Linked DNA regions of Arabidopsis thaliana. The protein of the gene in region 1 interacts with the protein of each later gene in a pairwise test. Each region holds a gene or a part of one and is shown on either strand. Other genes may lie near its edges.

The links.
Region 2: the proteins of AT5G51010 (region 1) and AT5G27690 interact in a two-hybrid assay, tested with the Arabidopsis thaliana proteins (one large-scale study listed by BioGRID).
Region 3: the proteins of AT5G51010 (region 1) and AT2G46550 interact in a two-hybrid assay, tested with the Arabidopsis thaliana proteins (one large-scale study listed by BioGRID).
Region 4: the proteins of AT5G51010 (region 1) and AT3G50910 interact in a two-hybrid assay, tested with the Arabidopsis thaliana proteins (one large-scale study listed by BioGRID).

The regions. Positions count from the first base shown.
Region 1 is NC_003076.8:20,741,053-20,748,111, reverse strand, and holds AT5G51010 (Rubredoxin-like superfamily protein), read right to left. Parts: upstream 3,560-7,059; 5' UTR 3,498-3,559; coding exon 3,289-3,497; intron 3,197-3,288; coding exon 3,138-3,196; intron 3,044-3,137; coding exon 2,926-3,043; intron 2,847-2,925; coding exon 2,768-2,846; 3' UTR 2,553-2,767; coding exon of another isoform or gene 2,412-2,552; 3' UTR 2,409-2,411; downstream 1-2,408. Other genes in the region: AT5G51030 (NAD(P)-binding Rossmann-fold superfamily protein), read left to right, coding at 1-250; CRL (crumpled leaf), read left to right, coding at 947-1,126, 1,239-1,288, 1,440-1,500, 1,598-1,633, 1,727-1,777, 1,847-1,939, 2,016-2,120, 2,213-2,305 and 1 more; AT5G51000 (F-box and associated interaction domains-containing protein), read left to right, coding at 4,443-5,579; AT5G50990 (Tetratricopeptide repeat (TPR)-like superfamily protein), read right to left, coding at 6,831-7,059.
Region 2 is NC_003076.8:9,800,775-9,808,070, reverse strand, and holds AT5G27690 (Heavy metal transport/detoxification superfamily protein), read right to left. Parts: upstream 4,425-7,296; 5' UTR 4,276-4,424; coding exon 4,186-4,275; intron 4,087-4,185; coding exon 4,011-4,086; intron 3,928-4,010; coding exon 3,035-3,927; 3' UTR 2,805-3,034; downstream 1-2,804. Other genes in the region: AT5G27700 (Ribosomal protein S21e), read left to right, coding at 23-72, 181-313, 465-530. UniProt on the Arabidopsis thaliana protein: Heavy-metal-binding protein.
Region 3 is NC_003071.7:19,109,857-19,117,884, reverse strand, and holds AT2G46550 (uncharacterized protein), read left to right. Parts: upstream 1-3,678; 5' UTR 3,679-3,893; intron 3,894-4,412; 5' UTR 4,413-4,427; coding exon 4,428-5,621; 3' UTR 5,622-5,924; downstream 5,925-8,028. Other genes in the region: AT2G46560 (transducin family protein / WD-40 repeat family protein), read left to right, coding at 312-599, 676-849, 958-1,181, 1,342-1,475, 1,576-1,797, 1,888-2,066, 2,205-2,315; AT2G46540 (fiber), read left to right, coding at 6,204-6,282, 6,645-6,727, 7,163-7,198; AT2G46535 (uncharacterized protein), read right to left, coding at 7,565-7,636, 7,732-8,028.
Region 4 is NC_003074.8:18,915,044-18,923,989, reverse strand, and holds AT3G50910 (netrin receptor DCC), read right to left. Parts: upstream 4,664-8,946; 5' UTR 4,204-4,663; intron 3,806-4,203; 5' UTR 3,802-3,805; coding exon 3,036-3,801; intron 2,661-3,035; coding exon 2,238-2,660; intron 2,146-2,237; coding exon 1,991-2,145; 3' UTR 1,689-1,990; downstream 1-1,688. Other genes in the region: LPPepsilon1 (Phosphatidic acid phosphatase (PAP2) family protein), read left to right, coding at 457-768, 873-1,098, 1,184-1,257, 1,360-1,587; AT3G50900 (uncharacterized protein), read right to left, coding at 5,524-5,868; HB28 (homeobox protein 28), read right to left, coding at 6,821-7,570.

The DNA.
Region 1 (7,059 bases):
CTACTCTGTCTCCAAAATGGCGGTGAACGCATACACAAGAGTACTAGCTAAAGAACTATCCGAGAGACCAGAGGGAGAGAAGATATATGCAAACTGTTTTTGTCCCGGTTGGGTGAAAACCGCAATGACAGGCTATGCAGGGAACGTTTCAGCAGAAGATGGAGCTGACACTGGAGTCTGGCTTGCATTGCTTCCTGATCAAGCTATCACCGGAAAGTTCTTCGCCGAGAGACGTGAGATCAGTTTCTAAGGAAAAGATTGGATAAGACTTGTTTGGTGTTCTACAAGAGTTTATATTGAAGTTAGTTTTTTAGTTGATTGCTATATTTACAAGAATCGATATGAAGAAACCATTTCTCTATGAATATAATTTATTTTTCTTCTTGATCATTTTTTTTGGTTTATCAATATGTTCGTAGTGATATAATTGTCATTAACTTTTTTTTCTTTTAACTGAGAAAATATATCTCAAAAAATTTCTCATTTATATTTTATCTAGACATTTAATATCCAAAATTCTTTGGTTGGAAAAAAAATTATACAGTTAAATTGCGCAATTTAATTCCAAACAAAATACAAAAAAATTGTTATTTTTGTACTCACAATCTCATAACAAAAATAAATTCAAATTTACTCAAATCATCTCAATTTATAATTATTTCTAAATAATTTTTATTAATATTTCGTTTTTATTACCAATTGTTTTAAGAAATTTAAATAAAAATTAGAAGAATAACAATTTTCATTTTCAATCCACTAAAAGAATTAAAAAACGATTACACGTGGCAAACAATCTCACCACTGGTTCGGCGAGGCGAAAACGTCGATCGTCACAACCTTACTCCTCCTCCTCTTCCTCTTTCTCTAATCGGCAAAATTTTCTGCTCCTGAGAAACAAGTAGAGATACTAAAGATGGAATCTTTGAACTAAATTCGAAACCTTTTAATGGGTACCGAGTCGGGTTCGGATCCAGAATCGAGCTCAAACGGGTGGAGCCGTGCTCGTGGTCTAGTTGTCAAGACTCTGGTTTTAATTGGCGGTGCTCTTCTCATCAAGCGTCTCACTAAATCCACCACTCGTAGAGATCACGCCCGTGTCGTCTCTCGTTCTCTCACCGGAGAGAAGGTTTTTAAACCCACAATCTCAATGCTTACACTTTTGGTTTCCTCTACTCAGAACTATGAAATTCTGATTTTTTTTTATGAATTGAGAAGTTTGTTTACATTGGGTTTTGAAGTTTACGAGGGAGCAAGCGTCAAGAGATCCTGATAATTACTTCAACATAAGGTTTTGTGATGTTCTTTTATCTCAAACTTATGATGCTCTTTAGTGGAATTTAGACCATGATGCTCCATTTTGAAGTTGTTTCAAGATTGAAACTGTTATATCTCTATCTCTAGTTTGTTTCTAGCATTCTGAGTTTGAAATGGTTGTGCAGAATGCTGAGTTGTCCAGCTGCTGAAATGGTGGATGGTTCAGAGGTTTTGTATCTCGAACAGGTGACCCATATTTTACTTCTTTGTTGTGTTATGGTGATTGATGTATAAATGTGTTCTTTCTTCATGTTTAAGACAAGATATTCTCTTTTTTCTTCAGGCATTTTGGAGGACTCCTCAGAAACCGTTTCGACAAGTATGTAATCATTCCCTCATGGTTGATTTAGTTAGGAAACTGTATTATTGTGTTGCTGAAGTCTTATGCATCTTGGGCTGATTTTGGTCGCAGAGATTATATATGGTGAAACCGTGTCCAAAAGAGCTAAAATGTGATGTTGAGGTGAGTTTGAGTTGTTGAGATCTTCTTATGTATTCTAATGCACGAGAGTTTGACGCAGTGTTATTTCAGGTAAGTTCATATGCGATCAGAGATGCTGAGGAATACAAAAATTTCTGTGACCGGCCTAAGGACCAACGCCCACTTCCTGAAGAAGTTATTGGTGTAAGTCTTAAGGTTTTGTATCGATAGAGAGATGTCTGGTTACTGGAAATCAAGCTAACAATGATCAAACTAATAGGACATTGGAGAGCATTTGACGACTATACACCTGAATTGTTGTGACCGTGGGAAACGTTGCTTGTACGAAGGCTCAACTTCACCTGGTGGATTTCCAAATTCATGGGTAATGTTCTTATAAGAAAAATCACAGTTTATTTGTTTTACACTCTTCTGCTTCCACACGAAAACACTTGACGTTTCTTTCTTGGATTGCAGAACGGGGCTAGCTATTGTACTTCAGATCTTGCAGTTCTGAAAAACAATGAGATACACCTCTGGGATCGCGGCTTTGATGAGAATCGAAACCAGGTACATCCCAACTTCCTTACACTTATTGGATTGTTTAAAGATGTTACTACCAACAAATTCTCAAAAAAGCTCATCTGAAATGGGTTTTGGTATTGGGACATGGCAGGTTTGGGGACCAAAGGAAGGTCCGTACGAGTTCAAGCCAGCGACATCATCGAGCATCAACGAAAACTTGTCTGCTTTGAACATCCTTTATCAATCTTCTATCGATAAACCAATCCAAGGGTCCCTCATCTTGCAAGACTAGCCAATTTGCACCCCCTTTTCTATTGTCTGATCTTCTCTGTATCACACTTAGCCTCTTTATTCATCTCATCTCAGCCACTTTCAATATAGTTTTGGTACATAGAAAGCTCAATACTTTACTTCATTACAGTAGTGGTCAACAAGTCGAAGATGAATGTTTATACAGAACAAAAAAATGATTCCAAAAGCAGAGTGTAGTCTCTCTTGATACTGCATTCATGAGGTGCTATTGACATAGAAGTAAAGAGCTGCGAGAGCTAAAACCCCAACTGCAATTCCTATAGGTAGAGCCTTCCTGCATGATTACCATAAGATAACTATAAGAAACAAAGTGACAAATATGTGAGATTGATGAGAAAGGAGGATCATTTTACCCGACGGCTTCGTCTCTTTGGAGCTCAGCTTTTCTAGCCTTTCTCACATCTTTGTCGTTGACATTCTTGCTCACATCAGGCATGTAAGCTCTAAACCGCCGTTTAGGAGCAGCACACACTGAAAACAAAACCTTAAACCCATTTGAAACCAAACACAGTCCCAACTAGTGATAGCTACAACTTGTTGATTCTTTAAACATGAATCACGATACCTGGACAGAAATAGTTATCAGGTAACTTGTCAAATGGAGTTCTATCATTGTAAATATACCTGCAAAATCAAAGAGAAGAAGATAAATAAACAAACTTTGTATGTTAGAGGTAACCAAGAAGAGAGAAAGAGAGATCAAGATTGAAAGAGACCCGCAATCACGGCAAATATAGGCTTGCTTAGAGGAGACACGCATGGAGAATCTAGGAGCAGAGGATTTGGAAAGAGACTTCTTGTTTCCGAGTAGCCTCATCGAGTAATAAGGCAAGAAAGATGATCTCTGGAGGGTTGGAGTCGTCGGAGGTAAGACCACGGAGGATCTTCCGGCGTAAAGTGTCGTCGGAGGAAGCTGCATCGCCATTGAGTGAAAGTTCAAAAGTGTGGTGGGATCAGAGGAGAAGAGAGAAGAGGAAAGTGATAAGAAGGAAGAGTGGGAAAAAGATGTGGAAGAGTGTGCTCCTCACAAGCCCTCTCACTCGCCACGTCAGATTTCCATTTTTATTTTTTTTTTATTATTTTCTAAATTGTCTGAAAAATCATAGACAAACAAACATTGATGCGATGATGTTAAGACGCTTTATGATCATATCAAACAAGATTAATTAGTCTTATTATATAATCAAACGAATTTAGAGATTTTTTAAGATCGTTTGCTTAAGTGGTAATGAACGTTATGGGTCATATTACCATGACCACCAGAAGTTCATTGTGATTTCAGTTTCATGCTTCTCAAGTTCACATGGATGCTTCTCTCATTGAGAATGTTATAGAGGTCACAAGCACATGATAGAATGGGAAATACGAGTATTAGAAGTCTTATATTCTGATTTAATGTTACCTAAGTTTATGGTTTACTATCTGGTTTAATGTCTTTTATATGAAGAACACCTTTATGCTTTGAGCTGACCTAATGAAAGAAACTCAATGTTGAAAGAATCTAGTAGATACGGAATTGGAAGCAAGCTGAATCAATTCTAGAAAATTTTGCCGCTGCTCTTCCTCGTCGCGATGAACAGACCAAGTTAGGCTAACGCAATCCTTTATCTGTTTTCAGCCAGCCTAAGCGCCCTACTTTACCTACTTGAAATGTCTTACAGAAAAACTAATTTAGTAGCAACAATTTTACTGAAATATTTCAAAAAAAAAAAAAATGTAAATCACGTCCTTTTATTTTGGTTAAAAGGCTATACACCTATACGTAAGTATTTATTTTTCTTCACAATTTTTTTTTACTGTATATATAAACAAAAAAAAAAGTAGTGTGGGCAAGCGTGAAAGTAGAAAACCCTAATCTCTATTTGAAAAAATGTCGACGATGTCTGATCTTTTCCCGGATTTGGTAGAAGAGATACTCTCTAGGGTTCCAATAACATCTTTGAAAGCAGTGAAATTAACTTGTAAACAATGGAATGATTTATCCAAAGATTCGAGCTTTACAAAAAACCATTATGGTAAAGAAGCCAAGGAGATTCAGGTGATCATGATATGTGATTTAAAGGCTTGTTTAATGAGCGTCAATCTCCATAATCACAAAGACTTGGCAGATCCATCTATAAAGCAAATAGGTAAACTTAATCAAGTCGAAATAGATAGTGTGTTTCATTGTGATGGCTTATTATTATTGTTGTTATGCAACCCTAAGGATAACTCGAAGCTCATGGTTTGGAACCCTTACTTGGGTCAAACCAGGTGGATCCAACCTAGAAACAACTCGCATAAGCATAGACCAGCTGGCAGGTTTAATCATAGACCAGCTGGCAGATTTTATATGGGATACGACAGCAACAACAACCACAAAATCTTATGGTTTTCGTCTATGTACCGTGAGTATGAAATCTACGATTTTAAGTCTGATGCGTGGACGGTTATTGATGTCAATACCGACCAAGACCATATAATAGATAATCAGCGTGTGTCCTTGAAGGGTAATGTTTACTTTATTGCTCATGACATATTGAAAGAGGAAGCATTTTTACTTTCTTTTGATTTTACATGTGAAAGATTTGGACCGAGTCTTCCTCTTCCATTTCACTGTTGTCATGAGGATACTGTACTTCTATCTACTGTTAGAGAAGAGCAGCTTGCAGTGTTATTTCAGAAGTCTGATGCGTATGAGATGGGAATATGGATTACAACTAAGATTGAGCTCAATATAGTGTTGTGGAGCAAGTTCTTAAAAGTTGATATGACATTGCCTAACAGCTATTGGTTTGAAGATTTGAGTTTCTTCCTCGTCGACGAGAAGAAGAAAGTAGCAATGGTTAGTGAATTAGACATAGAAACGTGTAAGAACTACAAAACTTACATTCTCGGAGAGAATGGATACTACAGAGAAGTGGATCTTAGAAAATCCAAAGGTTGTGTCTACTTATGTGTTCTTATGTTCCAAGTTTGGTGCAAATCCAGTAAGGTTCCAGTACTTGCAAGATGCGAAAGAAAATGAGGAGATTTTTGGTCTATTATTACATAGTTTACGATAATACCTTTTCATTCATTTATGTTTTTTTTTTGTTCTTCTCTCAAGTTTTCTCATGTCTTTTTGAACAAGACTGGTCAATCAGGGTTTTGCTGATGGGAAATGAAACTTTAATATATATATATATGGATCTATGAACTTTCTAGGTTTTCGTGGTTCTTCAACATAAGCTTTGTATTTGTGATCTTGAGAATTATACATCCATCTTGATGGTCATGGTCCTTTTTTAAAAAAAATGTTACATTAGTTAATCAACAAAAGAAATAAATTATAAAGAATGGGTTTTATAGTGGAACCAATTTAGAAGAGAAAGACAAATGGTAGAGAAGGTTTTGTGCTTCTCCTCCAAAGGCCAAAACCGAGAAGTAAGAGAGAAGATATCAAGCTCGTGTGGAGCACCAACGCTACATGATCAAGTCACCTAGCTTGGAGCCGGGAGGGTAATGAAGTATGCTAGAACAAATTAATTTGTCAATGATATAATAAGAGAGCCAAAATATTATAAATCATAGCTTGAAAACAGAGAAGGGGATGGGTACAACCTGTGATGTTGTTAAAATCAAGAATAAAATTGAGACTTTCATCAATGTGTTTTCTTCATATGGCTTGTGAATAAAATATCAGCTTTTGCATATTATTATGAAGCTGAATTTTATAGAATTACAAAAAAAAAAAAAATTAATAGTAGAATTTTTTCTTAAGAAGAGGTTGATGAGCTGATTAAAGAATTCTTGCAAAATACTAAGAAAGGTTTATAATGTTAAAAAGTTGATTAGATTGTAAATCCGACCTTAGCTCAGTTGGTAGAGCGGAAGACTGTAGTTGTTTGCAACAGAAAATCTTTAGGTCGCTGGTTCGATTCCGGCAGGTCGGATATTTTTATCCTAATTCTAACAGTTTTCATTTTTACCCTTATACCCTCCTATCTGACACCCATGGCTGTCACTTGAGTAGGACAAAATAGTAAATCACCAAGTTTACTACACTTTTATTCCAATTTAGTCCCTAAAACTTTAAGATTCCCAAACAATTTCCCAACACTTTAAGATAGTTCAGTCAGCATCGTGCTTGAACACAATGCAGTGCACCATCAAAACTGAAAGTTCACTGGACCAAAACTCAGCTAAAAAGTTCCTGTAATATTCAGTTTCTTCATCGTTCCTTTGGCGAGTTTGAGAACAAAGAATGTAGATAGAGAGCTTTTGTAGCATAACTCATTTACCAATAATCTCTGCAAGAACACAACCCATCTTCAAACCTATGAAACCGTATCCGATCCCGCATTATAATCACTCTATTCAACAACTTCGACACTGCTTTTATCCAGTTGTGGCAATCACTACACATCCGTATATTCTTCTGAATTCTAATTTCTGTTCCTGGACTACTCTTCAATATCACATACGCCAACGCGAGCTTTTCGCTGTGATAATTTAAGTTCTCTTCT
Region 2 (7,296 bases), about 11 Mb from region 1:
CTTTCAAAGCTAAGCTTTCAAGATGCAAAACGAAGAGGGTCAGGTCACTGAGCTTTACATTCCTAGGAAATGGTAATGAGAATCATTTCTTCTTCTTTTGTTTTGGTCTCTGTTTTGTGTTCTCTCATTAACTAAGAGAAGATTGGTTCTTGTTTGTTTGTTTTGACTGAATATTGGCAGTTCTGCTACTAACCGGTTGATCACATCCAAGGATCATGCCTCTGTTCAGCTCAACATTGGTCATTTAGATGCTAATGGCTTGTACACCGGACAGTTCACAACCTTTGCTCTCTGCGGTTTTGTCCGTGCTCAGGTTTGTAACAATTTCTCAATGCTTTGTCCATAATTGAGTCAGAAGAGAGTTGATTTGTTTTGTGTGTATCATAAGAAGAGTTGAACAACCAACCCTTTGAATTTCTACTTATCTTCATAGGTTAATTAACTATTGATGTACACGATTGCAGGGAGACGCTGACAGTGGTGTCGACAGGTTGTGGCAGAAGAAGAAGGTTGAAGCCAAACAAAACTAAGAGCTTAATCTGTCTTGTTTTTTGTCGAATCTTGTTTTTTTTTTTCCGAAAGATTGCCTCATACTGAAGTAATGATTTTGGCTTTGGGTCGTGGAACTTAACTTAAATGCTTTTGTGCACCATGTCTTCTAATTTTTCACCAGTTCGATATAGTATCTCCAGTTTCTCGACCTTTTTATCATTCTGAGGTGTTAGTCTTTAGAGTTCGAATCGGAATGAATAAGCGTTATTACCCCCTTAATTATCATTTTGGGAAGATACTTTAATTCATATTTACAAATTACAATACACCTTTTTTTCTTCTTCTTTACCTTTTGAACACTATACAATTACTGAAACGTATGTACTACTTTTTGTTTGGGCAAACACAAATGTACCAAAACTTAATAATAATATAGAAAGAAAAATTACAAGTGTTACAAAACCCAATACCTCATATGGGTCAACAGTAGGGGTGGGGCATAATATCCGATCTGAAACCGAACCCAAAATCCTTCCAAACTCAAAAATCCGAACCATCCCGATTCGAACGGATAACCGAACAATTCACAATTTAAATACATAGTAATCATATATTATTTATATTTATATTTGTAATAATCTTAGTGTCAGAATATTAGGATTTTCGGATATTTAAGATGTTTTTGGGTATTTAATTTGGATAAAAATATTCAAGGTTTTTAGATATTTTTGTACTTTCGAGTAGTTTGGATATATTTGGTTATAAAAAACGATATTTGGGAACTTCGAGTAATTCGAATCCGAACCCTATCCAAACGCAAAATCTAGAATTACCCAAACGATTTCTATATCTCTAAATCCGAAAACTCGATCCTAACCCGCAAATGGGTACTGAACTCCCGTTAACTAATGCTAGTAAATATTAACATTTCCCCTGCTTGGTCTCAGCCTCCTAATGTTTAACATCACATATACAACATCAACATCAACTCCAAATCTTTTGTTTGTCTTTCCACACTTTGGTCAAACACAATTATAACAGTCAATAAATCTAGGTCAAAAAATGTCAATCTTTTACTACGAAAGAAACATGAAACTTCTACTAAAAAGAATCTCTGAAGAGACATGCCAACATTAATATGTTGCATCAAACAATATACAATTTAGTTTACGGACACTAAATAGTATCACTACTGAAAAACATTGGGGATTAGAAATTTACTTATAGTTTAGTTTACGGACACTAACTAAATGTGGTTAGATAAACTTAAAAAAAAACTACAAAAATTGACCGTTATATATGTGCAAGTATTCAATGCATGTGATTAAATGAATATTGATTATAACAACGATAACTATTCTTTGAAACACGAACAATTTATACCATAATCTATAATGTAATCTAGTTTGTGTTTATGCCATCATAGTCATACAATTTTTTCCAGCCTTATGCCATCACACGATAACTTTAAGTGATGACATAATGTCATAATTTTAAACTTTTTTCTTTTCACATCTATATGTGTTATCGTGGATTGGTTTTACTAACTAGAATCAGATTCTCAATCTTGGTCGGTTCTCTTTTAACCATTCAAGAATTAAAGTATCAATGACATGTTTACATCATGTGTATATATAGGTAATTAACGGTTTTAGTTTCACACGTTAGTTGTTTATTAGGGAAAAAGTACAATATATAATATAGTTTGTATAACATTAAAACATGTAAGACCAATTTAACAATTCGATTCCCTGTGGACACTATTTACATATTCTTTGTCATTAAATATGCTTTCTAAATATGCCTTCTCTTCATATTTATCTTCCTTTTCAAATTATTCTTATTCCCTTTCACCAAAAATCTCTCTTTTTATTTCTCTCGGAAAAAGATTTATTCCTCTCCAAGTCCAATTATTCTCCTCAAATGTTATTCTAAATTTTGCACCCAAAAAATGATATTCGAAAATAGTACACTACTTCACCACGTCACTTCCGTATAGGGTATTGGTTTATATGAAAACCGTATGTTTTCTTAGGTATTACAAATTTCGTAGATCATAATGTATACTTAAATCATACTACAATTTTTTTGTTGTTGCAATCATGTCATTTTAAATCTATCAATATATGTTAACAATTTATATTTCCTAATCATTATGCTTTTTTTTTTCTTATAATGTTGATTTTTATAATTATTTTTTATTATCGCGTATTAGATTTGTATAATATAAACCGCTTATATTATACGAATCTAATAGACGAAAATAAAAAATAATTATAAAAATCACCATTATAAGAAAAAGAAAGAATAAGCCCATGAATAGCTGAATTTTCCATTAAAGAAGTACATTTTCGCATTTCATTTACCAAAAGATAGCTAAATTACGAAATACATAAATTTTTATGTTGGATTAAATTACTTACTAATATCGTTCTTTGTTGATTGTTTACGAAATACCCCTCTAATAACACTTACAAGATGCCATTCCAAGGCCAATTATGTCAATTTGATTCTTAAAAGCAGTAAAAAAAAACTTCCAAAATCACATAACGCAACAAGAGTTTGGATTGCCTTCGCTTAGTGACTCAAACGATTCCGACGGTTGAGATCTATACGAATAAAATTCGGGCGGTGGAGATTCGTAGCCAGTGTCCACGTACTCATAAGAATAATATGACGTCGGATGAGAAGGAGGAGCCGTGTAATACGACGCCGTCTCATTCCCACCGTTATTAATTGGCCCATGCACCGTGTTGTAACTCACCGTATAAGACGGCGCCGTTTGAGGCTGAGTATGATAAAACGAAGGAGGAGGCAGTCCCGGACCCGGCCCGTACATTTGTTGTGGATGATGACGTGGAGGACTGTGAACCGTTGGATACGGATGATTCTGCTGCTGATGATGATGTAGATGAGGAGGTGGTCCGTGTATAATGTGATGATCTTGTGGAGCTGAGTATATCACTGTCTCTGGCGGTCCATCGTTTTGCGGAGGACCACCACCGCCACCGCCGCCGCCGCCTCCTTCCATTACCACCGTCGTGTTCCCTAAGCTTTTCTTCTTCTTTTTCTTTTTCTTCTTCTTCTTCGGAGCTCCATCTCCTTGTGGTTGAAGTTGACCGTTTACAAACGTAACAACTTGTTTAACCTGATCAAAGTTTCCTCCTCCACCACCACCTCCACCACCGACGTCACCTCCGCCGTTGTTGTTGTTGTTGTTTTCGTCGTCGTCTTCATCTCCACTAGTTTCTTCGTTATCTTTCTTTGGTTTCTTCTGATAGTTACAATCGTTGTTAATGTTGTTCTCCATTGACGTTGGCCATAGCTCGGCGTGTCTACCGGCTTTCATGATCTTCTTGATTAAAATCTCCGGCTCTACGTTTCCGATCACCGTTACTTTTTGTTGCTTCACGTCGATATTTGTTGTATATACACCTAAAATAAAATCATATAAATACTCATAATTAGTTAATCAATATCGAAAAAGAATAAAACGTTAGATTTAGTTTATATATTACCATCGATTTTGCTCAATATTTTCTTGATTTTTCTCTTGCATCCTTCACAATGGATAGAAACTCGCAAAACCCATGTCTACAATAAAAAGAAGACGAAGAAATATATGTATTGAGAAAAGAAGATGATAGTTATATATGAAGAAGAAATTGATTACTATGTAAAAGTGATACTTACGGTGTATCTAAGAGGTTCAGGGTAATCTTCGAAAACATGTCTCTGTTCTTCTTGTCTTGTGTCTGATTTTATCTCTGTTCCTAAATCCATAATGGAGAGAAAGAGGAAGATGAAGAAGAGGGAGAGGGAATTGATGCAACTTTCATGTGTAATATAGTAACGAAGTCATGGCTTCTATATCTTTTTTTTTTTTGTGGGACTTCTTCAGCAGATAATATTCTCTAATAGTTGCCTTTTTGGAAAAGATTATAAAATGCTCAGTTCTCAAAACATTAATATTTACTTAGTTAGGATTAAAAAGAGTTTTTTTTTTTTTCTTTTTTGTCAAAACATGAAATTTTCGATTTTTCTTTGCCATCATTTTCATTTTCTTACTATTAGAAGATATTTTAGGACACTGAAATTGTCAAAATACCCAGTCTAGCTAGGTTCGAAGTACACCATAAACCTAGGGGTTTGAATAATTTTCTCTCTCTTACGGATGTTAATTTGACCGAGAAAGAGAGAGTAGTAATCAAACATATTTCCAAACCATGATTCAGCGATCGAAAATTGTCATATGTATCGGCTCACAAAATAGTTGGATTATGCCCATTTTACTCAGTTTGATTTCTTCTCATAGTATCGTTTATGTCATTTTTATTTAATTTTGACTTCCAATATAAACAAGTATTTTCCTACACTATTCTTACACTATAAAAAATATAAGTATTGATAACACATTACGATAATACAATTTTTATAACTGTTATTAAAGTGGATATTCGAAGTTTGGTAACAATATAATATCATAGCATTTCAGTAGTCTAATAATTGTAACTAGGATCGGACTCTCGCTACACTGAGGATTTTTTTTTTTTTAGTATTTATATGAAGTGTATTTGTATGTGTGTTTGTATCTTTTATAACAGACGTATTTTAAAATTATCACAGTGCAATATATTTTATAAAAAGAAAAAAAGGCTGTGATAGAGATGTTAATGATGGGTTAAAACCCACTGGGTATCCAAATAAATAAAACTCATATGGGTTTATCTCATTGGGTTATGGGTACCCACGGGTTTTTTTAAGTCCTTTTTCAAGTGAATCAACATTTTCTTGTAAAAAAAGATTTCACATTTTTTCCCCTAAACCGCGATTTAACAGTTTACCGCCAAAAAAAACATTCAACATTTTCCCGCCAAAAAAGACATTCAACATTTTCGCGCCAAAAACGATATTCAACATTTTCCCGTCAAAAACGCAATTCAACATTTTCCCGCCAAAACGCGATTCAACATTTTCCGCCAAAAATGATTTCATATTTTCCCGCCAAAAACGCAATTTAACATTTTCCCGCCAAAAAAGACATTCAACAATTTCCCGCCAAGAAGATTTCACATTTTCCGATCAAAAACGGAATTTAACATTTTCACACCAAAAAAGATATTCAATATTTTTCGGCCAAAAATGACATTCAACATTTCCGGCCAAGAAAAGGATTTGACATTTTTCCCGCCAAAAACACAATTTAACATTTTTCCGCCAAAAAACGCAATTTAACATTTCAACCTTTTTCCCATCAAATATATATGTAATACAGAAAATAAATATAATTTAAAATATATTTATAAGCAAAATATATTTCGGAACAATCGGGTTTTTTCGGGGTTTACCCACTAAATAAAAAACCCATCTGAGTTTTCTAAAGTTGGGTTTTTGGTGGGCGGGTTTATTTCGGGTTCAGGTCGGGCTGGGCTTTTTTACCCACCACAACATCTCTAGGTTGTGATTTAAATTTAGGAGGTGTATAGTTGAAAACATATTGATGATAACAAAAGTACATAATGATATTATGTAATAATGTGTATTAAAGTTTCAGATACTTATATTGAAGCAATATATATATATATATATATATAATTTAAAAAAAGAGATACTATTGTATAGATAATGAATGTTTATACAGTTTAGTTAGCTAATGTAATTAAATTGTAATTGTATAATATTGATTTTTGATTTTTATATTTTACTCTTTTATATACAAAAGCCCAAAACTAAAATCACTTAAGACCGTCAAAACTTAGCAAAACTTTTACACTTCTATTTTTTTTAGAAAAACTTGTAAAATTTATAACCTTTGGTCATCGAAAAATATAAACTAAAAGAATAGCTAGAAAAAAGTATTTTTAAAAAGAGAAATATAAAAGAAGCATTTCTAACAATTCCTCTATATTGTATCATTTTAATTTAGACTATGTGAAACCATGAATACATTCCAACATATTTTAAACTTTAAACCATGTTTTTTTTTGTAAAAAAGATTTACCTTCTTTCTTCCTTGTGAACTTCAAAACTTCCATATCTTTTTTTTTTTTTAAAGAAATCTTGTGTAGTTTTTATTTTAATTTACAAGTTTAACTTGTTCTGTGATTAAGAAACCAATAACTAAAATTATTTCTATGAGTCGGAACAAAAAACAAACTAAATTTGTAATTTAAAACAGCTGGAAAATTATATAACGGTTTCTTTAATCAAAGAATATGAGTATGACCAATAGCTCAAAAGATCCTTTTATAATTGTTGTTGTGTATGTAGTTAAGGTTTTGGTTATGACGGCAATCGCCTTCACAACATTAACTTTTGTTCAATCATTCATTGGCCATGAGAACCTTGTTCGTGTGAATTTTGTGCTGCCTCGTTACAATCACAATCTAAGCACATCATCTCTTTACCTTTGTGGTGAGTTTGAATAATCAGTCTTTGTTTTAGTTGAGAATCTCATTTGACACGCTTGTTAAAACAAATGTGGAAAAGTGTGGAAAAGTTTTCCATATGGTTGATTCTAGCGACATAGGGAAATGCAGCAATTTGGAGTGAATATGCCTTACTTCCATCCATTCATGGCAGTAATATTATGTTCTAATAGACTAGTTGATATCCTTAAAATATGTATAATCTCTAATAAGCTTTTTTCTTTATTTCTCTACATAATGAATGAATTCCATGATGTTCACAATGCTAAACATGTTTTAGGTGATGTGATTTGCATATAAAAGTTTTTTCATATGCATATGTTTTGCTCATGTTTTGCATAGTTATGTTATGCATAATGCATGCATCTATATATTT
Region 3 (8,028 bases), on another chromosome or scaffold:
CCACTTGTTCTATCTTTAATTTCCTGTGAAATTCATAAGTTTTTGTAACTTGCCATATGCTACGCACCAAAACTTTAGATATGCAAAGATGAGTCTGCATCCTGGAAAACATCCATTAACCTTTTATCTGTATCCTGCATTCTTGCATCAGTATCTCGAGATAAAATTTTCAGATGATATTGCATGTCCCATATGAAGACCAAGTTTATGTCAATCTGTTGTTATTTTGTTGTTGCAGTGTTTTATTATGCTTAGTGGTAATGTGGCAGGAGACATAGACACATCCCTAAATGTGCATTCGTGACATGCAGGGTATAATTTTCTTTAACCTAGAAGATGGTGATTCTTCCCAAAATCAGTCAGACTATATCTGGTCAGATGCTGACTGGCCACATAATGGTTGGGCTAACTCTGAGTCAACTCCCGTTCCAACATGTGTTTCACTCGGTGTTGGTCTTGGGGATAAGAAAGGAGCACACCTTGGGTTAGGTGGGGCCACTGTTGGAGTTGTTTCTCTTTCCAAGCCTGGGAAAGCTGACAGAGTTCCTGGCTACTCTGGGTTAGGAGCGATAGCGGATCCAGGATCATTTTTTACCCAGGTCACACATAGCTAAAAAAAAAAAATTGATAAGCCAAATGTATATTTTCTCATAACATTAAATAAAATTCACGTAGATCCGCCGGTGGTTAGGAGTCTCTGGTCTAGGTTGGGAAACTCAAGAAGAATTTGAAGAGTTTGTTGATCCTCCCCCAACAGTTGAAAGTGTTATTACGAGAGCATTCTCTAATCACCCGACAATGCCCCTCTTCTTGGTTGGCTCAAGCAACACTCACATATACTTGTGGGAGGTTTGTGCCTAAACACTTGCACCATCTGTTTTAGGAGTTCGGAGTAAATGATATGACATTTCTTATCTATCCTTGTGGATCTTATAATGCAAACCTTGCATGTTACAGTTTGGAAACGAAAGAGCTACTGCAACTTATGGTGTTCTTCCTGCTGCAAATGTTTCCCCTCCTTATGCTTTGGCGTCGATATCAGCAGTGCAATTCGGTCCATTCGGACACAGATTTGCTAGCGCTGCACTGGATGGAACTGTATGCACTTGGCAATCAGAAGTTGGAGGAAGGAGCAATATTCATCCTGTTGAATCATCTCTTTGCTTCAATGGCCATGCATCGTACGTTTCATGATCCTTGAGTCTATAAGTTCTTGTTCACTAATATGCTAAAAACACATAAGTTTTAAATTATTGCTGTCAGTCATGAAAATTACCATTATTTCTCTGTTTCTTGTTCTATTGGCTTCAGCTATTCTGTTTCTGTTATTTATGGTTGCAGAGATGTAGGATATATTAGTTCGAGTGGATCCATTGTTGCAGCTTCAGGATATAGCTCAAGTGGTGCAAATGTCGTTGTGTGGGATACTCTAGCTCCCCCTTCAACCTCCCAGGCATCTATCAATTGCCATGAAGGTCCTCCAATAATTTTTTTTGTAGAAGTGTTAGTATCATTTCCCATAATCACAACTCTTAACAAGTTTTTTTTTTGTTTTGTCCCTTTTCTTCTATGAAGGTGGTGCACGCTCTATCTCGGTATTTGATAATGACATTGGTAGTGGTTCAATTTCTCCTATGATTGTGACTGGTGGCAAAAATGGTGATGTCGGTTTGCACGATTTCCGGTTTATTGCAACCGGAAAGATGAAGAAGCAAAGGAACCCTGACGGTGGATCTTCGACTGATGGAGATCAAAACAAGAATGGGATGCTTTGGTATATACCAAAGGCTCACTTAGGTGCACACCCTAAAGCCTATTTTCACCTTCATATTCCAATTTTACCGGAAAAATATCCTGAAATTTGATTGACATTGATGCAAATTTCAGGGAGTGTGACAAAAATAGCGACAATCCCACGCACAAGTCTTTTCTTGACGGGAAGCAAAGACGGAGAAGTAAAACTTTGGGATGCGAAAGCTGCAAAGTTGATTCATCATTGGCCTAAACTACACGAAAGACACACTTTTCTGCAGCCAAACTCGAGAGGCTACGGTGGAATCATCCGGGTTAGTGAACCAAATCACCTAAAGCATAATCCTTTCATCGTATTTTCTCACAGTGGCTTTGGTTTCTTAGTAAACCAGAATCAAAGTAATGTCGGTGTATGTAATCGAATTTGGGTATGTGTTACGAATTTGGTGTAGGCTGGGGTGACTGACATACAAGTTTGTCCGAATGGATTTATAACGTGTGGTGGTGATGGCACGGTGAAGTTCGTCAGCCTCGTAGATTCTTCCTATGGCGATGCTAAATAAAAAGAAGATACATTTTCCGGGAAAGTTTTGCAGTCGAGAAAACGAGTTATTGCTACCTTGCGTGTGTTTATTGAATACGTGATTTTTTGTGATGTAGTTTTTTTCTCTATATGGTTTAATATTTGTGTATATACAAATATATTAAAGATTATGAAGCAGTAGAATCTTGAGTTGACCATAATCCAGATTTTAATTTATCTTTGACTTGACTTCAATCTATACTCGGAAATATCATCTATTTATCTTTGACATAGTTTTCGTTGACTTTGTTGCATCAGATTTAGACCAGATTAAATCGGACTGATTCCAATTAGATTGGTGTTAAGTGTAGTGCAATAGAACCGAAAATAAACATTATCAAGATTTAGTTCGTTATTGTAATTTTTTTTCTTTCTTTTTGGTGTTGGTTTGGTATTAGCTCGATATAGTTTAATAAGATTATGAAAAATTGACGGCTAGGAACCTGGCCACTATCGTATTACGTAGTGGAATATTATCTTATGGTTGATTATTAAACTGCTCCATAATTTGTGTTGTAGTCTTGTAGACGAAATGATATGAATCATCAAAATGTTTGATTAAAACCCCATTTGCCAAGAATTATTCCTAAAACTATTAAGTTAAGGCAAAGGTCCATTTCATTAATAATTATTCTAAAGAAGTTAGTTGTATATATAGTATATATATAGACTATGGTGTTAATTATGACTGAATATATTAGTGCTCACATAAAGCATCTTATTAGAATATCTTAGATTGCTTAAATAATTATTAACCACGTAATAAATAAATCTCATGTAACACTATCAATTGGAGAATAATGGAGAGAGACAATTAACCATAATGACTTGAAGACACTTGGCTTCACCTAACATTCAATTTCCTAGACGAGGCCACTATTTACATTCTCTTTACCTAACTTTCAGAACTACATTAAACCAAATTGACATGTAAAAAACCTAATTTTATATTTTCAACATGTCTATTTACCATTGGCCACTTTATTACTTAAATGAAAACGATGTCATAAAAAATATTAGTAGACCCTAACTTGAAATTTAAAATTTAATCGATCATTTAAAAATCAAAATCATTCGACGCAATTACTACAAGATTTTTATGTTTTAACCAAACATTTATGACGTAATCTACCATCGCGCGTAATCGTATAGTGATAACTGATAAGATAAAAGGTCTTATCCGTTAAAAAAGGAAAGGGAAGCCTTTTTTAGATCTTCTTTTTTGTCGCCACGTGTAATTAATATCTAATCGAACGGCTGTCAGGTGAAATCTATGGGCAAATCTGTGGACTCAAATACTCATTAACATAACTATGGGTCCTCTCAGAAAACGGTGCCGTTTTGCGGAAGCTTGCGTGCTGAATGACACAGAGACTAAGAAAACGATAATAAACTGCAAAATGATTCAAAAGATTTTAATCGAAAGCAAACAAAAATTCTCTGACAATCAGAAAACAAAAAAAAATCAGAACAACTCTTATCTTCTTCACGAGACTGACTAAACAATCATAGATTTTTCCGTTTTTTGGGTTTCGTCTGGTGTTACTCTCTCCTTCTGGTTAGTTCTTTTTTTCCGAATTCTTACAAATTATTGCGGTTTCATTAAGATGAATTATGATTTGGATCACCATCCGTTGTTTTTGTGTCCGGTTTTGATTCTTAGGTCTAATCGCGTTTCATGTTTTTTTTTTGTGTTCTTCTGGGTTTGATAATTTTATAGTTGAAGTTTTATGAAATTTGATTTCAATTGCAAATAATGATGATTTGTTTAGTAAGTTGATAAATTGACAAAGAATCTGGCTTTGGTTTTTGTTTGCTTCTAAGAAAATTAGGAACTAATTCTTCAATTTACCTGGAAAGCAAAACATATCAGATTCTCTAAAAAGTAGTTTTGTAATAAGCTTTTTTGGTGATGGATCTGTCGGCAATCAGAAAGATTCTTCCTTTGAAATAAATGATTCATATTATTTTTCCTATAAATAGATTCAAAACGGTTAATAAGATTTTGCTAAATCTACCTAATTTCTAAATCACATTGATCTTGAATTGAATTCTCAGTCTCTTGTCTTATCTTTAGAGTTATGGTGAAATAATGGCAGCAGCTGAAGCAAGAGCAGTGTGGCAAAGAACAGTTAATCGTTGCTTTGTCCAAGAAGACGCTAAAAGAGCTCCCAAGTTAACTTATTGCCAATCATCTTCATCCTCAACTGCTTCTTCAACTAAGCAAGTGGAAGTTTCTGGTTCTTCTCCTCGAGTTTCTGTTGAACCACGGACTCAATCATCTTGTGCAGGTTTCATGCCTCTTCCTCGAAACCCGAATTTCCCTGATCTGTTACCCCACAACACCAGACTGTGGAGTCATCCTCATCATCAGTTTCAGGTGAATAAGAAGCAGCCATTGGAGGATGAGGTTAACAATCAAGGTGTATCTGAGAAGAAGTCTGAATTGGGAGCTGGAGAGAAACAAGGAAAGTCTTTTAATTCCGAAAGCTTTCAAGAGTTTATAGAGTTGATGGAGACAAGGGAGAGTTATGGTTCAACTGGGTATGATGAGTCCTCTGAGAAAAAGTTAAGTGAGCTCTCTTTTGATCCTAGCTCGCCGTGGAATCTTCTCTCGAGTGAGAAAGCTGCACCGTGGTGGCGAACTACGGATAAAGACGAGTTAGCTTCCTTGGTTGCACAAAGATCTCTAGACTATGTTGAGAATTGTGATTTACCAACACCGCAGAAGATGAAACGATCTTATTATGGTAGTCCACGTGGTTTTGATTCTGATGGATTGAGAGACTACTCTGTCTCTGGCCAAACCATCAAGGGTACAAGCAAAGGAAGCAGCTGCAAGAACAGACCCGAGGCTTCATCTGAGTCTGATTTAAGCAAATCCGAGCTTCTAGAAGCACTGAGGCGTTCGCAAACGCGGGCTAGGGAAGCGGAGAATATGGCTAAAGAAGCTTATGCAGAGAAAGAGCACTTGGTGAAGATATTGTTGAAGCAAGCCGCAGAGCTTTTTGGGTATAAGCAATGGTTACAACTGCTTCAGCTAGAAGCACTTTACCTCCAAATCAAGAACAAGGAGATTGACAATAAGAACAACGACGATCCAGGGGTTTCCATCCCTTGTTGGAGCAATGGCAAAGCAAGAAAAGAGGGGAGAAAGAGAAGAAGCAAAAGGGGTAAACCGAATGGAGCAAAGTACGCGGTTGGTTTAGCATTGGGGATGAGTCTTGTTGGTGCTGGTTTGCTTCTTGGATGGACTGTTGGATGGATGCAGATGCTATCGTTCTAGTTTAAAGAGAAGAAAAGAGACAAAACTTCATCTTTTTTCTCATTGAACAGCTTGATGATGTTGAAATGAGTTAAAAGATTGGCTTCGAATCAGCTTTTGGATTTCGTTAAGGAGAGAATGTAAATTGTTGTAAGAATTTTGTTAATATTGTGTTTACTAGTTTGATCTTTTCCTTCAAAAATCATATGAAATTATCTTCTTTAATGTGTAAGTAAGTATCTTTCATGTTCATGTAATATCTGCATATATTAACTACTGTACAGTGTATATGATCTTTCTTTCATGTTCCTAGAGCTTCGATTTCTTGAAAATTTAAAATACTTAGTAATTTTTTACTGCTGGAAGCAGAATGAGAAAGAGAAAGATATACAGTATATATATTTTTTAATTACGGCAAAGGTGATTATAATGGGCCGAATTGCGAACATTTGGGCCCAGTAACCCGACCCGACCGGAGATGATCTTTAATTTCGTTTCAGGTGAGAAAATGGTTTACTCAGGAGCAACTATCAATCGAATCAGACATTGACGAGGAGCTTTGGTCGTAATCCGAGGAAGAGATTAAAATCGGAAAGTGCGAAAATGCCGGTCATGGAGAAATTGAGGATGTTCGTGGCGCAGGAACCAGTTGTGGCTGCTTCTTGCTTAATCGGCGGTGTTGGTATGAACCCTAATCTCAATCTTAATTCCTCACCGATCGATCGCATTCTCTTTCTTAGAAAAGGATTTGCTTTGGGATTTATCTAGTTTCTGGAATTCCTCTTTGAATCTATAGAGCTAGTTTGCTCGATTGTAATTTGAGAATATAGAGAAATGCCTGATCCAAATCTCTCTATTCGGAATCGTCATTTCTTTGGGTTGTCAAAGAGAGTGTATTTTAAGGAGTTGAAATTAAGCTTAATTTGGAACCATGTCTTCCATTATCTCCATGTATAAGTAGCAAAAGATTATGTCTTTCTTGAACATTAGCAAAAGGCAATTGTGTTAATATACATTTGCTGATGGATTCTCTTCATCTTGTAGGACTATTTTTGCCTGCGGTTGTGAGGCCTATTCTAGACTCTCTCGAGGCTTCCAAACAAGTTAAAGCTCCTCCACTTACCGATGTATGTATTAGAATATATTTATCTCTGTGGAAATTCCTTTTGCTGCTAAAATCGTCATCTATTTCCTATCTAATGAAATGTCTCTGATGTGGGAACTCTGCATGATAGTTGTTCTTAGTATCCGTGTAGGCGAATGTTTGGACGTTTCTTTTTTTTGCTATGTGATGTAGCCTATACATCATCTCGATGTTTTGTTCCTCCTGCGTCTTCTTGTGATTTGAGAGTTCCATCTTTGGTTCATCCATGCCTTAAAAATCTATGCTTTTCATCATTGGACGAGTGTCATGATCACATTTTGTTACTGCCAAAAATGGATTGGGCATAAAAGAGACTAGTTAGTTATCACATTGCTTAGTTATCCAACGCTTTCCTATATACTCTTTACAGGCAAACAAAGGCGTCAAGTATTAACTCAGATCCAATTTGCTTTTGCAGGTGATTGCTGGTGTCACAGGGAAGAAACAGAGTTAAAACAAGCAATGACTTCCCCTGTTTTCTTACATTCAGATGATCCCTATTCCTTTTTTGTCTTTTACTCTCTCTATTCACAATGAATAAGCCAGACTCATTTGTTTGTTATGAAACTTAATATAAAGGCATGTGTGTACACTCACTTTTGTTCATCACTTGATCAGATGTATTCATTTCTTAACAACAAATGAAAAAAGCTTGAAACTTTTCTTGCCATGGCTCATGAGTCTTAACAACATTATATATGCATATCACACAGATATTAAATTACAGTAAAATTGCTAATCTTACATACACTCTTAATAGCTCTTTTTCATCATCTTGATCCCTCAATAGATAGATAGATAATGCATATTGAAAACAGGCTTAAACACTTCCACTTCTCATCTTCTTGTTCTTCCATGGCATTGCTAGCTTCAATCCCTTGCATAAACTTCCCTGCATTTCCCCAACCAAACCCGTTTCAGCGAAAGACAAGACTTGGGAAGATGAAGAAGTTATGAAGAAGGAGCGGAGAAACACAAATACTTTACCCAAAAGTGAGATCCTTTAACAGAACCACCACCATGGTAACTCCCTGATCTGTTAAACTTCATGATCTTCATGTTGTTCTCGTTGATATTATCTCCTGCTCTCTGATTCTCCGACAGAAAGACATAATTACCCCTCACAACAACATCCCCTCTCCCTTTCCTCCTCAAGAACCTCAAGAGCCCATGTTTCCTCTCGGGCAAGGGCATTTGCGTGAACTCACCAGGAAGGAGCAAACGAGGTGGCAAATCAAGACACTTGGGGTAAGAAAGAGGACGAAGAGGGTGCTTGGGCTTGCC
Region 4 (8,946 bases), on another chromosome or scaffold:
TTTTGGGCACAAACTAATGAGGATTTGTACAAAAGCTAAATGAAAAGAGCTACAAAACTAAGCCCATAGACATATATCTCATGAAGCCACTCCAGATCACCTGATGCTACATCAAACTAAGAATGGTTTTAATTAATATATGGGCCTCAGCTGAGGAAACAAAAGCCCATTAATTTGCTTCAATATTGGTTTACCCGTTTATTCTACATGCCACGTGGAAGAATATGAGTGGTCACGATATTATAAAATGCGTCAAGGTAAACAACAAATAACAAACTCGTTTTCGAGCAAAAAAACTTTGAAGATTGATTTGAAGAAGAAAGCTCTCTCTCAGGTTCTTGTTCTCAACCAGACATTGATTTCTTCGATTTGCATATTTCCCTTCTTCGTCTTACGAATTTTACTTCCTTTAGCGATGGATTTGATACTACGTTGACTTTTATCTTCCTTTTGGAAATGGCAGCGTCGTCTTCTCTTCTTCTTCTTCTTCACTGTCCCACCTGCAATTTCTACTTTGACTCTTCCTCGTACCTTAAAAGATCGAGACTTTCGAGCTATAGTTCGATTATCTCTCGTGGGTCTCCTTTGTTTGTCTCTAGCTTTGGATCTATGACCGTTAAAAGATTCTCTAGCAGAGTCGGAAGCAGGAGCAATGACGGTAACGAACAATTTGGAGCGTTGGAGCAAGAATCTTTCATCAACAACTCATCGGAGATACGGAAAGACTTGGTCACCGGCGGTGGGATTGAAGCCATTGTTAATCGTCTGGTTAGTTAATGGAAATCTCATTCATGCACGCAATGTGTTCGATGAAATGTTTCTTCAGTATCAATGTGTGTTTCTTTCTGACCGGTTTTAATTAATGATGACAGAGCAAATGGGTTGTGTCTGTTCTATTTGGTTCAATCATTCTTTTGCGACATGATGGTGCAGCCTTGTGGGCAGTCATTGGATCGATTTCGAATTCTGCTCTCTCTGTAGTTCTTAAACGTATACTTAACCAAGAGAGGCCTACTACAACATTGCGATCTGATCCCGGGATGCCATCTTCTCATGCTCAATCCATTTCTTTCATATCTGTCTTTGCTGTTTTATCCGGTAAGCAGCTTAAGCTGTTCACTACTCATCGTTCGCTATCGTGGAACTGTTTACAACGGATTCACTCGAGTCGTGTTTTCTGCAGTTATGGAATGGCTTGGAACCAACGGTGTGTCTTTGTTTCTTAGCGGCTTAATCCTCGCATTGGGTTCATACTTTGTAAGTCTGTTATAACAAGTTTCACCTAATTGATTCAAGCTTTTCATTCATATATGAAATCATTTAGTTGCCATTGATCTCACACTCTCTGCACTATCACAGATACGGTTAAGGGTTTCTCAAAAACTGCACACAAGCAGTCAAGTGGTGGTGGGTGCCATTGTTGGTTCTCTTTTCTGCATCTTATGGTACACAATGTGGAATTCGCTTCTTCGTGAAGCCTTCGAGGCATCTCTATTAGTGCAAATATCTGTATTTCTGTTTGCAGCTACATTTGCGCTAGCTTTCGCAGCGTACGTTGTACTTAACTGGTTCAAAGACGAGAGATAAGCAATACCAAGCTTTACTTATAAAGCTTAAAATTGTTATCCCTCAAATTCTTTTCAAAATATCGAAATGAAGGATTCAGAGCCCGTTTGTTAAAATCAAGATTTTAAAAAATAAGGTTTCTTTAAGATGTAAGCAAGGCAAGCACCTTACACTAGAGCTAACATTGAATGTTAATAAGAACCAAACCGAACCAAATATTAGTGACTGTGGCTGCCACTCATCAGTATGCCACCGCAAGAAAAATGTGTTTGCAGCTACTCGGAGCTATACATCCTCTTGAGAACAGTTAAAACAATAACCAAATATGTATATATTTCTATTCACAAGGCGTACGCTAAACGTCCTGTATCTTTATTTCTCTTGCTTGCATCAAACCCACTACGTATACAAGAGACTTACTTAATCATTCATCCTTAAGAGATACTTCAGATGATGGTTTGGCTGCAGGAATGTAAGACCATGCCAATGCCGCGCTTCCTAGAGTAATGGTTGCTGCAATTGATCCCCAAATCCATCTCTGCCTCTTCTTTCTCTTCTGCCTCTCTCGTCGTGCCACCTCTGGTATCAACAGAGTTGTGAGATTAGATTTTTATTATACGATAGAAAATGACAATGGATAAATTTGGTGAATGAGAGTGATTTTCTACTACCTATGGCTTCTTGGTTTCGTTGAGACATCTCTCTGTTCACGGCCTCGTAGTAGTGTAGACGGTCAGACAACCGTGTGATTTCAAAGTTCTTAGTTTCGAGCATAGATTCCATCTCCATCTCTACCTCGGCCTTTGCCATACCTCTGCCTAAAGAGTCAGAGACAAACCTCGCAATCTCGAGTTGACAGCGTAGTTCTTCTGATAGATTCATGTTGTTGGTGGAGGCGGTAGGATCAATAGGAACGAACAGACCCACCTGAGCCATCTGCTCACGGAGTCTCTGCCAGTGAATTTGCATCTGCTCCAAAGCCTCCTCTGTCTGTTTTCTCTTCTCGATTTCCATTAGTAAACTCAGCCTTATCTCACTTAATTCAGATTCGATGTTATTAACTGAACTCTGCATTCCACTGTCGGTTGATAGTTCTGAAAAACCAAGAAATTAGATGGATTACAAAATACTAAATAGTTCCGAATCATAGAGTCGAGTTAAAGCTTAACTTTCAGGATACTTTGCAGATACTCATCAAGGGAAATGAATAATGCATTAATCATCATGATTTGGAAAGATAACTCATCACTTTCAAATTTCAATATATCCAGAAGAAAACAAAATTCCAAAGCATGACAAGGCGCTACTACTGCATATTAAAGAAAGAATACCCTCAAATGCTCAAAGGTTAAAAAGAAGGGACTCTAAAATGTGACTAATCATATTATCCTGGGAACGTTAAGATCATAAGCATTGACAGCCATCTCATAAGGAAATGATTAGTAAGAGAATAAGATTTAGATAAGTACCATCCCAAGCATCATAAAACTCTCCCACAGGTGTGGCAAGTCTTTGTGAACTTTCGTCCCCAGCATCACCCTCTACGTCTGTGTTACTTGTGAAGCTTGCTGATTCACCTGGGTCATAGAAATCTTCTGACTCACTCTCCTTGTCTGTTTTAATAGGGACTGGCTCAGACAGACCATTTACCCGTTCTAAACCATTAGCAGCGTTATCCAACTCTGACTTCCCATTCCCACTTTTCCCATCAAGCGGACTCCAATTTCCAACAGGACCATCAACAATACCATCAAAATTATAGTTTCCAACCGTACGAGCATGAACTCCATTGGAATAATCATCTTCAGTAACCTCAGTGATAGGAAACGAGAAGGAAGTGGACCTCCTCCGAGGGGAAACCTTTACATCTGTTTCAGCAGTAATAGTTTCCTCTTCCAGCGTCTTCTGGTGGGAAGAAGACACAACATTAGCCTCAGAAGAGCTTTTAAGAAGACGTGGAGGTCCACGTGATTTGTGGTTGATGATATAAGGCGACGGTGGGAAAGACGATGGCGAATTAGGAAGCGGAATCGCATCAGGTGTGGCGTAGAGAGCAGGTGACATCAGAGGACGAGTAACTGTCCTCTCATTAGGTAATTTACCTTTACCTTTCTCCAGTTTTGATATCGGTGGCTTTGAATAAAACAAATTAGTTGTGCTTGGAACACTCTCGACAGACGTGGAAGCCCCTGGCTCTAGCATTCTATCCAAAGCAATAGCAGAAAAAGTAGGCATGGCTCTGCAATCATTCAAGTATCAAATTAGTAATAAAAAAAAACCGAAACCACAAAGAGCGTTTCTTCATTTCAATCGAATCAGAAATCAACCAACAATGGTCATTCGCATAAGTGAGAATTAGCTATTGGGAAGGTACAAAGCAAACACCGCGTGCTCAAACCACAATCATCGGTATACCTAAACAAAACTTGATTCAATTCTCGCACGAAAAAAAGAAGCTAGCAAAATCAAATCACAAATCTGATAATCTAGAAGCTAACAATAGGTCAAGCCGATGAAAATGAATCGAATCTCTCGAGATTCAGACCTACCATAACGAAAATTTCCAGAAATTTCACCGAAACAACAAACAGAGAAAGGTGAAAACATCAAATCCGGAGGCGTAAGAGAAGGATTTACCTCGAGCGCGAAGGAGATCTCCACGGAAGAAAGCTGAGGAAGATTCAACGGTGAGAGATCGAGGTTATACGGAAGTAAGACGACGGCGGAGAAGATAAGAAGAAGCGTGATACGACATCGTTAAGAGGAGAGGAGGGAAGAAGAAGAAGAAGAAGAAGAAGAAGAAGAAAACCTCTTCTCCAAGGCTTTTTTTATCTCTTCTCAGCTTTGTATCTCCGCAAATATTTGAAACGCTCTGTTTTTTTTTTTTCTTCTTCTTTGCTTCTTCCTCTATTCTTGGCGACCCATTTTCTGATTTTCTTCGTTTTATTTTTATTTTTTTAAAACGTGTCTTTGGGAGACATTTGGAAAGACGGATATAACCTTTGACGGTAAGAGTTACAGCAAAGGACGGCGCTATACAATGAAGGGGTACTTTGTGTAAATAAATCGACGGTAGGGTTTCGTGAAGTGGTCGAAACGACGTCGTCCAAGGGATCTTGTTTAAGTGGGGTCACATCTCGAATATTCAGAAACGTCACTAAAACGGTGACGTGGCCTAAAAAGCAAATTAACCCATGGCCCAATTTTTGTCTGTTCACGAATCTGTAAAGCCCATTTTGAAAACGATTTTAAAAGTCTTTTTTTATTTTCTTGTCTTCGTCAAATCTGGGATTTTGATAATATTTTTAGAGCCAGGTTTTTCTTAAACGTGTTACGTGACCCATGTGAACACGCTTTTAATAAAGAGCGAGTATTCAAACTTGGTTAACAATATAGTTTTAAAAAAAAACTGGTCTTCACAAGAAATATGAGACTATGATCATATCTATTTTTTTCTCCTTAATATAATAATATTTTATTCGTAACTTTATTTTTTGATGAAAAGGGAAAATCAAATATGCATCTGTTACTGGAAATTTTGAATTTTTCTTCACTTTATTTTGAATTTGTTCTCACTTGATTTTGAATTCTTAAAATAAAAGCTAAGGTGGGAAATGAAGAATATAGAACATGATTCAAAGATATCAGCTCTGGGACCGCTTCTATATTAGCAACTACTACGAATTGATTCAGTTCATATAACATATCCTTTTAAATAAGAAAACCAAAATCAACTTTTTGATCATATATTAAAGTCAAGACCCTTGAACTTATCTTATTCTTCACGGAATCTCCATGAGAGTGTACAAAACACTCATCAATTCGTGCAAAAATGACTAATACATTGTTTGATGCATCTTTTCGAATCGAATCAAGGATTGTTTGGCTTTCTCATAGATTATATATTTGGAAAAAAAAGACGATATACAAATCTTTTATTCATTTTCCTTGACGAATCTATCTGTAATGAATCACTGGTGCGTTAGAACTCGGATCCCACACACCTCCTTCTCTCACATACTCCATATACCTAGCAAACTCTGGTTTCGCCGTTGCTAAACTCTTCTTCTTCGCCGTATTCTTCTTCTTTCTTTGAAAATGAACGTCAAAGAAACTAAACAAAGGATGAACAGAACCACCGGTTGGTTTCGCTGTCGGTGTCTTCTTCACTTCTTGAACCGGGTTTCTTGAATGACCATAAACACTAGCCGGAACGCTAGAGACCCTCTTCAGTCTCGCTTCTTCATCGCCGAGCTTTTCGTAGCCACCATGGATTTTCCTTGTGCTCATGGCTCTAAACATGGTGTGATGTGGTGTGGAAAAAAAGTGGAGTTCCTTTGTTTGTGTTTTAGGTGAGTTCTTGAAACTTTCTTCGTGATGGTGTTGATTTAAGTAGTAGGACAAGTTTGCTTTGTGATATGAAAAGGAAAATAGTAGATCTGTTTGACTTTTATTTTAATTATTGTTGTGTGTATGAGATCTCCAACTAACTAAATTAAATTTTTGTATATGTAATTAATAAAGCATGTGTTAGTGTTACACCCACATGATGTATACATCTTCTTGTTCGTCCCTATTAAATCGCCGGTCAAATGTGTGTTTATGCTGACTATTACGTCTACATCTTTTAGACAAATCAAATGGACAATGGCTTTAGAGTTTAGACTAATCTTCTTTGTCTGATCCATATCTAACAATATATTAATCATGGAAAAATCTAAATTTGGGGTAAAAGTAAGCAGAATAGATCTATTCTAGAATGCTAAATCTGCTCCTTACGATGGTTTAACATCAGACTGTTATCATGCATGTACATGATTATGAATCAGATTTTTCAAACAAAATCAACTTTCTATTCAGACAGAAAAAAAAAAGTATGAATCAGAATTTTAAAACAGCCATTTGAAGGATAAAAAACGCTAGAAGGAGGGGTCGAACCTCCGACCTTGTGGTTAACAGCCACACGCTCTAACCAACTGAGCTATTCCAGCTAATTGTACTAACCATACTTGTGCATTAAATTATTAATTACACACGTTTTTCCCTCTTTATTTGAAGGTCCAATTTTATCACTTTGTTCAACCACAAATTAAGTAAAAGAAAAAAATAATCCCAGATACAATATAAAACAATCAAAACATACAAGATTCCACAGATTTATACTCAAGATTTTGAATAATTTGAAGGGCAAAAATTATATATAAAAGCAAAACAGGATTGTAAAAATTTATTTCACTTTTATCAGATCATCAAACTATTCACTAATGTTACTATTGTTTCTCTTCATTGCTTGCTTGTTATTATGCATCCAAACCTTAAAAACTTGTCTCCTCAGATTCACCATCCTACAAAACTTATCAATCTCTTCTTCATCTTTCTTCTGCATCCTCCACCCTAATCTCTCTGCAAATTCCTTCATCTTCTCCTTTTGTTCTTCATTGATCTTTGTCCTCACTCTCTTCTTCTTCCTCATCATCATCATCATCAAACTTTTCCCATCAACGTTTTGGTTACGATGACTCAGAATCTTCTTCATATCCTCGCTTGAAGATGAAGTCCTCCGTCCAATCTCACCCGTTGGATGCATTACACGTGGCTTGTACGAGCTGTTACTGCTGTAAAACGCCGGAGTTATCATCAGCTGATGATCTTGTTTACTGTTCCTGTGTCCGTACACTTCTTTCCGGTGGAAGCTCCGGTGACAGTTACAGGCGGCGCATTTTAAAGCACCGAGTGTACCTTCTTCTCCGCCGGCCATGAACTCGCAGCATCCGTCCACCACGTGTCCTCCGGTTGAGGCCGCGTGGTTCTTCTGACATTCCCGGTACTTAGCTCCTTGGTCGACACGTGTCTTTGGTTTTTGGTTTTCTTTCTTGATCGGGAATAAAGCCATGGATGGATCTGATTCGGGTTTGGCTTCTGGTTCCGGATCCGTATGTGGCTTTACTTCTGTTGAGATCATTGTTGTGGTTGTAATTGCATTGCATTTTCCTCCAAGCTCCATTGTGAATCTGACCCAAAACAACAAAACTTTGTTAAATATTAATACTTATAAATCATTCAATAATGCATGCAAAAATCTCTCCTTTAATAATTAATAGACGACTTTTGGACTCACCTTAGGGATTATAGAGATGCTGCTTATTGTTAGAGGGGAGGAGTAGTGGAAGATGAGATTGATATTGATGATGAAGAAGAAGGAGAAATAGAAATTAAGGATGATGATGACGTATGTGTGTTTGTTTCCTATCACCCATCAAGTTTTATTTCACATGAGAATCCAACAAAAATATTGATTTTAAAAACACAAACCTACTAGAGAGAGAGAGTGTGTGTGTATGTGTGGTGGTGCCTCTTAATTTCGAGACATTGTCATATGTTTGTTATCTTTCACCACCTGCACCTTTGGTCCATCTCCCATTATTGCATTTATCTCTCTTTCTCTCTATTTTCTTTTATGATGATTATTGATGGTGTTACTAATTAATGTATGTCTGCAAAAAAACCTAGCTTAGTCAAACTATTACCTACTAAGTACAGACTTGAGGAGTGGAGAGAGAGAGATAAATGAGAGGAAAGTTATGGGATTATTTTAAATTAGTTAAATGGGTTAGTTTTCAAAACTTTTTTCTAATGTAAGTTAAAATTATGTCTTATGTATTGTTAGTTATAAATTTTTAGGACTATGATTTTAAGTTCTAACATATCATAAAATAGATTAAAACTTCGAACAACAATGTTTGTCAATCCTTTATGCTGTCATAATAATAGTAGGAGTATCTTTATTTATCGATCTCCACAAATTCTTTGATCAGATTTATTGTGATAATCAATGAGAAAATAATACTCTTACTATCATTATGAGAGGTATTTATGGTTTGCATGGAGTTAGAAGTTAACTACTATAGCTTCAATTTCCCATACAAATGGAATTAGGGTTTCTAATAGAGTTGTTTAATGAAATAAGCTTTAACAATCAGAGTTTAATGATAGTCTTGAAAGAGAAGACATGATAAATTATTTTTCTGGTGGGGAGGGTTGAAGAATTAAAAGTGTGAAAGAATGAAAAGCTGGTCCACATAAGCACAACAAAACCTGCACTTTTATTTATCTCCACATGCCTCATGTCTCATTTTTCAGATTCTTTGTTTCCCACAGCTGTGTAGCACTTTTATGATCATCTTCATTTCTTACCAAATATTGAAATCAATCAACGGGAATAGATTAGCCATATACTAAACTTTTATTAAGAGGTTTGAATGTTACGCGTGACATCTTAGACTTTTAAATTCGTCTCTCTGAATAAGAGTAATTTCTTCCTATAACTATTTTAAGTTAAAAGAAAGCAAGGGTTGATTTCACATCTGTCTTGGCAAAATC